3 linked regions of the Oryzias latipes genome follow. The protein of the gene in region 1 purifies or fractionates together with the protein of each later gene. This does not show direct contact. Links are inferred from orthologs where the notes say so. Each region holds a gene or a part of one and is shown in the gene's direction. Other genes may lie near its edges.

The links.
Region 2: the proteins of carm1 (region 1) and smarcc1 purify together in Homo sapiens (affinity purification with western blotting; 3 studies listed by BioGRID and IntAct, with this or other methods). This does not show direct contact. The link is inferred for Oryzias latipes from reciprocal best matches to the Homo sapiens genes CARM1 and SMARCC1.
Region 3: the proteins of carm1 (region 1) and putative transcription factor p65 homolog purify together in Homo sapiens (affinity purification with western blotting; 4 studies listed by BioGRID and IntAct, with this or other methods). This does not show direct contact. The link is inferred for Oryzias latipes from reciprocal best matches to the Homo sapiens genes CARM1 and RELA.

Annotation. Positions count from the first base shown.
Region 1 is NC_019866.2:25,178,393-25,182,575, reverse strand, and holds the start of carm1 (histone-arginine methyltransferase CARM1), read left to right. Parts: upstream 1-1,335; 5' UTR 1,336-1,397; coding exon 1,398-1,539; intron 1,540-4,183. UniProt on the Homo sapiens protein: Methylates (mono- and asymmetric dimethylation) the guanidino nitrogens of arginyl residues in several proteins involved in DNA packaging, transcription regulation, pre-mRNA splicing, and mRNA stability.
Region 2 is NC_019874.2:27,737,666-27,741,315, reverse strand, and holds part of smarcc1 (SWI/SNF complex subunit SMARCC1), read left to right. Parts: intron 1-316; coding exon 317-354; intron 355-1,053; coding exon 1,054-1,175; intron 1,176-1,273; coding exon 1,274-1,345; intron 1,346-1,447; coding exon 1,448-1,561; intron 1,562-1,678; coding exon 1,679-1,832; intron 1,833-2,187; coding exon 2,188-2,298; intron 2,299-2,398; coding exon 2,399-2,458; intron 2,459-2,572; coding exon 2,573-2,831; intron 2,832-3,248; coding exon 3,249-3,410; intron 3,411-3,650. UniProt on the Homo sapiens protein: Involved in transcriptional activation and repression of select genes by chromatin remodeling (alteration of DNA-nucleosome topology).
Region 3 is NC_019876.2:27,221,504-27,225,153, forward strand, and holds part of putative transcription factor p65 homolog, read left to right. Parts: intron 1-516; coding exon 517-651; intron 652-1,689; coding exon 1,690-1,794; intron 1,795-3,624; coding exon 3,625-3,650. UniProt on the Homo sapiens protein: NF-kappa-B is a pleiotropic transcription factor present in almost all cell types and is the endpoint of a series of signal transduction events that are initiated by a vast array of stimuli related to many biological processes such as inflammation, immunity, differentiation, cell growth, tumorigenesis and apoptosis.

The DNA of each region.
Region 1 (4,183 bases):
ATCTTAAATTTGACAAACAGGTTAGTGCAGTCTCGTTTTTATCACAATCAGCAAAGCTCTTCCCTCTCATGCTCTGGAGCAAGTGATCCATGCCTTTGTTGTTCCCAGACTGAACTACTGTGACTCTGTACGACAGGGGTGGGCAATTCCAGGCCTCGAGGGCCGGTGTGTCTGCATGATTTCAAGATAGCCTTTCCCTACTCATGGCTGATTACCTGGTTCAGGTGTGTCCAGCCAATAATCTTGCCCTACTCATGACTGATTACCTGGTACAGGTGTGTCCAGCCAATTAGAACATGCCAGAGCAGGGTATGCTGGAAAACATGCAGGAATGCGGCCCTCAGTGCCCACCTCTGCTACGGGGTACTGACCAGTCTCTGCTGGTCTCCAGCTGGTCCAAAATTCCTCTACCCATCTTTTAGCAAGAACCAGCACATCACTCCAATACTGCGCTCTCTTCACTGTGTGACTGTATGGAGAAAATACATTAACATACACTAAGCAAATAAAATGGCATAATGCGAGCTTGTGTCCTTTGTGGGTTTCAAGTATAGTAATGACAGCAGACCTGGAGTATTTGGCAGTCTATCCCTATATGTGGTCTCTAAACACTATGGACCCTCACTGGTTTTTGTGTAAAAATGTTGTGTGCTCAGAAAATAATTTTGTACGTGAAACAGAAAAATACATGTAAACAAAACAATTTTATTTTTGAACCTTGTCGATTGGATTTGGTTGCCTGATTGGAAGACTTTCTGACCAATCAGCATCAACATCCCGTCTACATCTGTGATTGGCCGGCTTTTGTGGCACATTTGTGACACGGTTCCCTGCTTTCTTGGAGCAGAGAAGAGAGAGAGAGAAATTCTCTCGAGTTAAATTTTTAGTTTTAAAATTGAAATTGTTTTGTTAACTCCTATTTTTATGTTTCAAGTGCAAATAATTTTTAGAGCCCACCAAGTTATTAACATGTGGACACCCCTGAGATTTCTTCTTTTTTCCCCAGAATGCATTATTTTTAGGAGTTTTTCCCAAAAGGAAGGAGGGTCTAAGGGCAGAGACGCCCAGTTTAGTTTAGTTTGTTTAGTATTTTGCTATTGAATTCTGTGTATTCATGATCCTTTTGATTTTGTTTGCTTTACAATTACCGGTACGAAGCCCATTCAGACGACTGTTGTTGTGATTTTGGGCTATGGAAATAAAATTGAATTGAATTAACGTTTTACGATTTATCGGTGAGTGTTGCGCTGGGAATAATGACACAAAAACTACTCCATATAAATCTGGTTGATGTAGTACCAGCTCCAGCCGGATGACGGCGCTGTTCATCGTCACGGAGAGAACGGTGCGCGGGCGGACGTGCGCGCCATCCAGCCGTGTCTGCTTACAGCTCCAACATGGCGGCGTCTGTGTTCCCCGGCGTGCGGCTCCTCTCCATCGGAGACGCGAATGGAGACATACAGCGGCATTCGGAGCAGCAGCCGCTGCGGCTGGAGTTGAAGAGCTCGCCGGAAGCGGCCCTCATCAATCTCTCCAATGGTGAGTGTCTGTGGAAGCCGCGAGCCTCGGCCTCGGGAAATCTGCGCAGTGCTAACGCTCGCGCGGCTAACCATGCAGAGTTAGCCGCGCGAGCTATCCCACATAAAGAACGCGCTCAGCCCTCCGCGTGGACTGGGGCAGCCCCCACACTCCGGCGCTGTTCGGGTTGTGTTCGGCTCCGGCCGCGGTCGGCCGGGACTTTTCGCCCCCAGTGAGTGTTTAGAGTCGTGGGTCAACATCCAGCACGGAGCGTGCAGACGCTCGCGGGATCGTGAACGCGGCTCAGACAAAGCCGACGGCCTGTGTGTAACCGGCACGCGCACGTTTGCGGTGGATTAGTTTGGGTTTTTTCCCCCTCTAACGTCCTGCAGTCGTGCCCGCGCTGCCGGTAGGACTCACGGCGGCGTGTTTAGGTAGGTTTTCCCGCTGTGGCTGCGTGGGGGGCAGCGGTCACGCAGAACCGCCACGCGGAGGCAGTCCTGAGGTGAGGAACCGGACTTTCAGTCCAGTTTCCTGGGTTTGGGTGTTCGGAGGAGTTTCGGGGGGCCCCCCCCCCCCCCTTGCGTTCATCTTTGTTCTCATTGGAACAAAAGCGGGTTCCCGCCGCTGCGTCCCCCGGTGGAGTCCCCCCCCCCCCCGTTCCTGTTCCTCATCCTAGATGTGAGCATCGCAGATGTAAACAGAACCTGATCTAGAACCGGGTTTTCATCCGTTTTTGTGCAAAGGCCCACGTTTTCTTTGACTAAAATAGCAACTAAAAGATAAAGAAATAACTCTATCGTCTGTTTTAATCAGGAGCTCACCTGTATTTCTATTTTTACAACGAATCATTTTTCTACATTTAAACTGTAACTAATAAAAATCTTTCATTTATTTTATTATTTTTTAAAGTTTTTTAATTTTAGTAAAATGTGTCTTTTGGCCATTTAACCATATAATGTGTATTTGTTTTTTCAGTAAAGAGCCATGTTTTTTTTTGCATGTTAACAGTGCGACTTGTTTGGATTTTTACATCAACAACCACTAGAGGGCGCTGTAGGCGTGTATTAATATTTGCTACTGACAGCAGCGTAGAAGGAGCGTCCTTCAGTCCATGGAATTCTTCCAAAGCGACACAGAAAATGGCGAATTCTACGTTTTTTGTGATTTGTAGTGACATAACGGGTTCAGTTGATTTGCTAGCGTGTCTTTCTGGTTCTCTGAACAGTTGTTCATATGTTTTGCTAACATATCAGATTCCTCAGTGTTCTTAAAGCTAGACTAGCTTCAGCGTGTTATGGTAGTGACATTTACATTCAGTCTATTTTTGGATTACATATTCCATTAATATTATTTGCCTTTCGAGATGAAATGTCTTTTTTTGTTCCCGTATTTAGTTAAATACATTTCTCCCAAAAGTGCGACTTATATGTGACTCGTACGTGTTTTCTTTTCTTCTTCTTCTTTTGTTATGTACGTTTTTGGCTGCTGAGACTAACCGTCCAAAATAAACACAGCAGTCATATTTTAGTGTTTTTTAAGTGCTTGAAGTCTGACATGGAATTTGTTCTTCAATCCAGACAATAATATAAATCAATGGTCGTAAGATTGCAGGTTCGATTCCCGCCTTGCACCCCCATGAGTCGAAGTGTCCTTGGGCAGGACACTGAACCCGGCCTTGCCTCTGGTGGGAGGTTGGCACCAGTGTTCGGCAGCAGAGCCACCAGCAGTGTGTGAATGTGTGTGACTGTAAAGCTTTGGGCCTTGTAGGTAGAAAAGCGCTATAGTAGTATAGACCATCGACCATTTCACTGCAGTTTGATTTGAATAAAAGTCAATATAACTTAAATTATAATCCAAGTAAAACTGGTCTAAATTGGAGGTCAGCACCGAACATCAAAGGGCTCCATCTGATTGGTCAAATGCATGAATGGATTCATTTGATTAGCTAAATACTTCAAGCTGCCATAAGATTTTTTTAACACATTTAATGTAATAATTTATTGTAGGGAGCCGGTTTAGCTCGTGCTGGTTTGCGGCGCCTTCCTTCCGTGCAACCAGGGTTCGACTCCGGGCTGCTCCCTATTCCCTTCTCCACCTCCGTGCCGGTTCCAAGCCCGGTTTGAGAAGGTTGCGTCAGGAAGGGCATCCGGCGTAAAACATTGCCAAGTTTACCATGCGACTTGTTCGCCGTGGCGACCCCTGATGGGAGAAGCCGAAAGAGGAAGAAGATTGTAATAATTTATTGTGTTTTTCACCATCTTTTGCGATATGCATAATGCACAGCTGGATATCGCAGTAATAATACATTTATGATTTATTATGCAGGTTTACACAAAAGTAACTGACATGGATGAAGTTACTGATTTAAATGTGACATTTTTACTGAAAAAATGTTTACATTTCCAAACCTGTCTTCCTCTGATGGAAACCAACTTTACTTTAAATGGAACCTGTGTCTGACTCAGCCCCCAGCTTTAAGAAAAGCCCTCTGAGTGACTCCAACTGTGTTAGGGCGACTCTAGCGTCTGTTTTCTGTTGGTGGCAGATTTCCTTTAATGTTTGTCTGTTGATCAGCAGTTCGTCTGGGTTTTCTTACTGACTGGACTTTGTTTAAACCAAGACTTCTTGTTCAGTTTCTGCCCCCTGAGTCATCAGGCTGATT
Region 2 (3,650 bases), on another chromosome or scaffold:
AATGCAGCTGGAGCCTAAATGTTTAGATGTAAGATTATATTTTAGCTACACATCAAACGCAGCCGCATGCTTTGTCCATACAGACCCTTTACAGTGTGACAAATGTAAAACCATCTCAAATGTTTGTAGACGTGTGAAACCTTTAGTATAGAAAAAAGTTTTTCAAAGCAACGAAGACGTACTTTCCTATTATTTTTTTAGGAATGTTTGTCTTAACCAATTGAAATGCGTAGAAACACATTTCAGTCCAAAGCTGAAATCTGCTTTAATTGGGTTGACTGCGTCACCTGATCATTGTTTTTCTGGGTTTTGTTAGATGACATGGAGGATGACTCTGTAATGTCTGGTGGAAAGGTAAGAAAATTCAAAGATTTTATACAAACAGACTATAAGTGAAGGTAAGGCCAATGCACAAAAATCTATTACTTTAAAATTAGACACATACTACTACATTAGTGCCAAATTATAAATTTAAGCATTAAAGTAAAGTGTTTTGAATTTTTAAATTACTTCTGTTTATTTTATATCATAAAGGATAAATGTAAAACAAAAATCCACTTTGGCTTTGACACTCTTGTTAATTTTCTACCAAAGTTTACTGTATCATTAAGGATATTTAGAAACTTTATGTAATAATTTTAATAATTGTCTATTGACAGCCCAAAGTCCTGAAAAAGGTTTTGATATTAACTTCTTTAAGGGGGAAAAACATAATGAGAAGTATTTGAGGATAATTTGTTTCAAATATTTTCCTTTTAAAATATAAAGTTATTACCGGTAGTTAAAAAACAAAGAACATTTTAAAGAACAATACAAATGTTGATTTAATGGTCAAACATAAAATTCCTGATTCTAAATTACATTTTATTGTGCTTGAAATACAAACATTTGCTTCATAAGATTTTTTTAAGAGTTTGTAGCTTTTATGAAACACGTGGGAAATTAGTTTGAACAAAATCAAACTTTGTTCTGTTGGATCACAGATTTAATAGAACCTTTGAGGCCAGCCGTATTTTGTCTTTTAGTTTCTTATAATTGAGGTTTTTCTTGCAGGATGATGAGGAACAAAACAAAGGAGAAGTGAACCGAATGACAGATGCCAACGAGGATAATGTGACCGAACAGACTCATCACATCATCATTCCGAGCTACGGAGCTTGGTTTGATTACAACAGGTACGCTCTAAAAATGCTGCTACCAATAAACGTGTTAAACATTTCTGATGAGTGTGTTTGTCGGTTGCATTAAACAGTCTTTTTTTTTTCTCCTTAAGCATCCACGAGATTGAACGAAGAGCCCTGCCTGAGTTTTTTAACGGGAAAAACAAATCCAAAACTCCAGAAATGTGAGATTATATTTACAGACTCAGCCTCACTGTCAGATACATTTTTCTACATCACACTTTCTAAATCGCACTATAATGTGATTCTTCTCGACTTGTTGACAGATATTTGGCGTACCGGAACTTCATGATTGACACGTATCGGCTGAACCCCCAGGAGTACCTCACCTCCACTTCCTGCCGCAGGAACCTGACAGGAGATGTCTGCGCCATCATGAGGTGAAGAGGATTCAGGGCTTTTCTGCTTCTTTGATGCTCATGTTTTAATCCTGAAAAACAAACGAACAAAAATGATCAGAGAAATTGAATCTGTGAATTTCCCTGTGATGTTTTTAGGGTTCATGCCTTCCTGGAGCAGTGGGGTTTAGTCAACTACCAGGTGGACTCTGAAAGCCGCCCGCTCCCCATGGGCCCCCCACCCACACCTCACTTCACTGTCCTGGCTGACACCCCGTCCGGCCTCATGCCGCTTAACCACAGACCGCCAACGGTAAGCACAGCTCTGTTTAGGTGGGAGCAAAGTCACTTTTACTTTGAAGTACATGTATGATATCGACTTATTAATAATCGAGTTTAAAACTTGAGACATTTTCTTCTTAACATTGTCTGCGAGAAAATAATTACCGAAGCTATATATCTTATGAATTGTCAACACCAAATGCCGGCAGAGTTTGACATTATCACCAACAAAATGTTTTAAATATATATATCAGCTTTCATTCATGAAGAAGTCACTTGTTTTCAGTAAAGAAAAATTAACAGCTTAAAACCAAAGTACATTTTTATTTAAAAAGTGCTTTAATACCTTAGAGCTCTTGATAATTGTCGTAATATTTTCCCAACAGATTCCTCCTCAGCAGCCGATGCCTAATTTTGCAGATAAAAGCAAAGATAAACCCATCGACCTGCAGAACTTTGGCCTTCGTGCTGACCTCTACAGCAAGAAAAACACTAAGGTAAAGGTCCTGTTTGACATTTGCATGAGTTCTGCATGGAAACTATTGGAGATGCATATTCCTTAAACAAACGGCAATGTTGAACTTTGGTTTTCTGCAGTCTAAAGCAGGCATCGCCACCAGAGACTGGACTGAGCAGGAGACTCTTCTTCTCTTGGAGGCAAGTCTTATTTGTTTAGATATCGGCTTCTGTCAGTGGATCACAATTGTGTGTCTGTCTGCACTTGTCTTTATTTTTCTTCTGTGTTGCGACTTTATTTTTCACTCATCACAGGCCCTGGAGATGTTCAAAGACGACTGGAACAAAGTATCTGAGCATGTCGGTTCACGCACCCAAGACGAGTGTATCCTCCACTTTCTGCGGCTGCCTATCGAAGATCCCTACCTGGAGAACACAGAGGCGTCTCTGGGTCCGCTGGCTTATCAGCCCATACCCTTCAGCCAGTCTGGAAACCCTGTGATGAGCACCGTGGCGTTCCTGGCCTCTGTGGTTGATCCCAGAGTGGCCTCTGCTGCAGCCAAGGCAGCTTTAGGTAAAAAAAAAAAAAAAACTATGGAAACACGCAAGGACATTTAGAATTTCATGTCATGTTCTGTTTAACTTTACTGCATCAGTGCTACTTAAGACATTGAGACTGCAATAATTGTGGCATTTTTAAACGTAAGCGCTAAAGCAATACAAATCTAGATTTTATTTTTTTTAATCTGTTCCACTGCAAAATTAGAGGGGAAAAAATCCTCAAGGTTTTTAATTAATTAGATTTTTAGATTTAATTAGCATATTTAAAAAATAAATACTGAACTTGTTTTAGTTTTAGGATGAAATTGTTTCAAAGTATTGTTTTCCGTGCCAGTGTTGTTAATGGTGGACGTCGGCCCTGAACGAGCTGTGAAGATGCTTATTTTTATTATTATTTTTTAATATGGAAATGTCCTTGCTGCGTTTGCAGAGGAGTTTTCTCGCGTTCGTGAAGAGGTTCCAGCAGAGTTGGTGGAAGCTCATGTGAAGAAGGTGCAGGAGGCGGCGAGGAGTACAGGAAAGGTTGACCCCACCTTTGGCCTGGAGAGCAGCGGGATCGCTGGAACTGCTCCCGAGGAGCCAGAAAAGACTGGTGAGCAGCATTAAAGCAGACTTACATTGATGTCTTATGCAGGGCATTTTATATAAGGTTTATTCTTAAACATCAGACGGGTATGATGGCGCCTAAAGTGGGTCAGGTTGGAGGTTTTTCTTCTGACTTTTATATCAAATGCTCCACCTGAGGGCGACATGTTGACTGGAGGAGGTGGTTTGTGTGTGGAGATGCTGGCGTTCAGAGAAGTGAGGGAAAATGAGACTCTCAGACAAAGGT
Region 3 (3,650 bases), on another chromosome or scaffold:
TTATCGACGTAGTCATTCTAAAAATAACCCGTGATACGTGAGGGTGCAGTTACTTTAAGTCACTTTCTTTCTGCAGAAGATGAACGTAATCTTTAGTGAAAACTGGACGTCTCATTTACATGAGGGGCTTTTAAAGTGAAAAAATGACAGCTGACAATGTTTTTGGTTAAATAAGGGCATCAAAGCCTGAAGTCTTTTGGAAATCAGAATGCAGTGTTTGGTACCAGATTCGCAGTGGGTGTAAATGAGAAGGACGGCTGCTGTGAAGCCTCTGTGGCTCCTTATCTCCACAGCGCTGCGTGCCTTCATTGTGGTTTGTTTCTGCACAGCCCTGCATGTCATCCAGTTGGTGTCTTGCTGTCATATTTTTATGCCCCGGCTTTGAAACAAGATGACTTTTCTTTTCCATCTCCAAACCTTGTAGAAGTGAAAGCAGCCCTTTCTGTTTCATATTGCTGTCAGGTCACGAACACACATCGGCGCTGCCTGACTTCCTTTCTGTGGTTTCCCTTACAGTTCCTGAGTCCAAGGTGTGGGAGGAGGAGTTTGACCTGAATTCGGTGCGGCTTTGCTTCCAGGCCAAGATCACGCTCCCCACAGGGGAGCTGTACCCTCTGGAGCCGGTCGTGTCACAGCCCATCTACGACAACAGTGAGTGGAAAACCAGTCTGCCCGCTTTGGAGCCGCAGTTTTTCCTGGGAAGACGTTCAGCAAAGCTCAGACATTTTAGCAAACCTCCGTCAGGAAGCAGAGGAAGAGAGGCCGGGTGGGCTCCACTCATGGGAAGCTTGATTGCTTGGGTAAACACTGTAAAGTCTTGCGATCTAATGATACTGTACTGGGTGCGTCATAAACAGCTTGAAACCGTCTGCGTCCACAGACGCTCTTTGTTCCTCTTTGGAGGAAAGATTTTTCTTATTTGCCTGAAATGATTTACAAGAATCATTCCTCAATAATTCTATATTATAGATATTATATAACAGTAAACTTTAACTAAACAGACTAAAATAAACTGGGCATCCCTGCCCTTAGACCCTTTAAAGACGCACTCTGATGAAAATTGGATTTTTGGTGTTTTTTACACGCTCTTGTGGTGTTTTTCTGACAAAAATTTAGCTTAAATTTGCATTTGTGGGTATTTCTGTTTTCCGAATCATTGTGAATCAAGAGCAGATGAAAAATGTAATTTGAAAAAGATCACATCTGCGAGCGTATCTGCATCCACTGTCAGACCAATAGAGGCGTGAACGTCTTCGTTTTTCTCGTCTGAGCTGGAATCTGGCTCCAAACTGTACGGCTGGATAGCTCCAATATTGCTCGCCATTTTTGTTGCACCGCTAATGCTAGGTTAAGCTAGCAGGTGAGAGTGTAAACAGATGGATCACGGGAAGTGAGGTCGTGCTTACTCCACAGCAACGGTTCTGCCCACAACTCAGAGGGGAATCTCTAATTAACTCCTACCGCTCTGCAGAAACTTTGTCCAAAAAACAGATGCTTTATTTTGTCTACAAACGGCAAACTCATAATTAGAGGACCACTGGGAACACTTTGAAAATAAATCAAAAGATGATTTGACCACCTTTGAAGAATTGACATTAATTTGCAAAACTCAAATTCTTCCCAAATGGACAACTTTAGACAATTCTTTATTTGAAAGTATCCGTCTTTCAATACTTTTGCTTCTTGCAGGGGCGCCAAACACAGCCGAGTTAAAGATCTGCAGAATCAACCGGAACTCTGGAACCTGCAAAGGAGGCGATGAAATCTTTCTGCTGTGTGACAAAGTGCAAAAAGGTGAGGCTTCCACCAAACAGACGTTACTGCAGATGCGTGAGGGGGCTCTGCAGCAGACGGGGTCGACAGACCATGTCCGCTGGCTCCTACTACAAAAGAATCTTTCAAAATAAAGTACCAAATGATCACATCAAGGTCTGTTTGTTTTTCCCAGTGACATGAGGGCTCTCATAACTTAGCATCAAACTTTTCTGATGCTGTGTTCCTCCGTGTCTTAACCCTTTGATGCCTGAATTTGTTACCAGCTGTGAAAACATTGGCTTAAGTTTTTGCTTTCGATGCTAAATTAAGGCAAGACTGGAGCAGAAGTGGTTTGATGCATATTTGCATTTTTAGGCGTCGAGGGGTTAAATGTGAAAGCGTGCAGATATAGACTAGTAAAACAGAAACTACATCCTTCTGCATTCTGGGAACACTCAACACAACCTCCTCCACGAACCTCCTCCTTGGTCTTCCTCTCTTTCCTGGTAGCTCCAACCTCAGCATCTTTTCGCCGACATCATCACTGTTCCTCCTCTCAACCTGTCCAAACCCTCTCCATCTGCTTCTCTGCATTGATCTCCACAACCAGGATCTGTTCCTCTGATGGTCATTCCAGATCCACCCGGACCACTCCAAAAGAGAACCTCAGCATCTTCATCTCTGCTGCCTCCAGCTCTGCCTCAGAGCCCCTTAACCAGATATCACCAAATGGCGGACCGCGGTCCACATCCGGACCAACAGACTCTTCTCTCCGGTGTAGATACAATAACTGTTCGGCCTACAACTACCGTTCGGGGTCCTTCCAGTCACACTACGGTGGCCCCACTTGGACAAACTATGTAGCATGGAGATCTGCTCGGGCTCTACATATTTTCATTTCACGTTTCTTTTTGCAACGTAAAGTTATTTTCCTTCATAAGTTCTGTCCTACATTATTGTTTGTAGTGTTTATAGAGAGATTTAGCCACAACCCACTTTGTAAGAAGATCTGTGGCTGTTAGAATGAACCTGCTGCTCCACAGAGTGAACCGTGTCTCTGATCAGAGCAGCCAGAGTCTTGTAGCTTCGTGTTCATAGGCGGGGAAGGTGCTTTGTTAGAGTGTTCGGTCCGGAGAAGGGTTCAGAACGCAGGCCGTTTGGCTACAAATGGACTTAATAATAATCAGAACAATAATAAAAGCACGTTTACAAGATAACCCCGCTCTGTGTCGGAGCTCTGTTTGCTTACTCTGGACTTCATAATGTCTTTTTCTATGGTAGTGTCATAATTTGTCCAGACCAATCACTATCTAAAACGTCATCGGACCAACGGACAGCCAATCACATAATGTGACCTCAGCACTACTCGAAGGACCCCTGACGGTTGTTGTAGGCCGAACGGTTATGGTACCTACACCGGCGGTCCACATCTGGACCCTCCTTGGCTCCATGATCACTTTAGCTGCAGATGACCCTCCCGATCTCCCATAGTATGTGTCACCTCCTCCCTAAAAGCCAAACAGCACTTTTCCTTTCTCAACTTCCACCTCTTGGTCCTCTGCCCTTGTTTTCTTTATCTTCCTCGCACCTCACAGCTTTGCAGGTACTGATGTCGTTCACGTTTCGTCAGCACAGGAATCTGTCGCCTTAAAGCCGTTGGTGCATCAGCACAGTTGGATCTTTGAAAATTCGCCTTTTCACGTGTGAGGAAAGCATTCAGGCGGCTTTTCAGACTGCTGCCCTACGGAAGCTGGTTTACCAGCGAAACTCCAGAGACGGCGGTGTCTTTCTGTGACCAGCTGGGATTTGTCAAAGCACCGCACACTCCTCAATTCTTTGGTGTTCTCCCATGTTCCCGTCTCCCTGCAGAGGACATCGAGGTGCGTTTCTTCCAG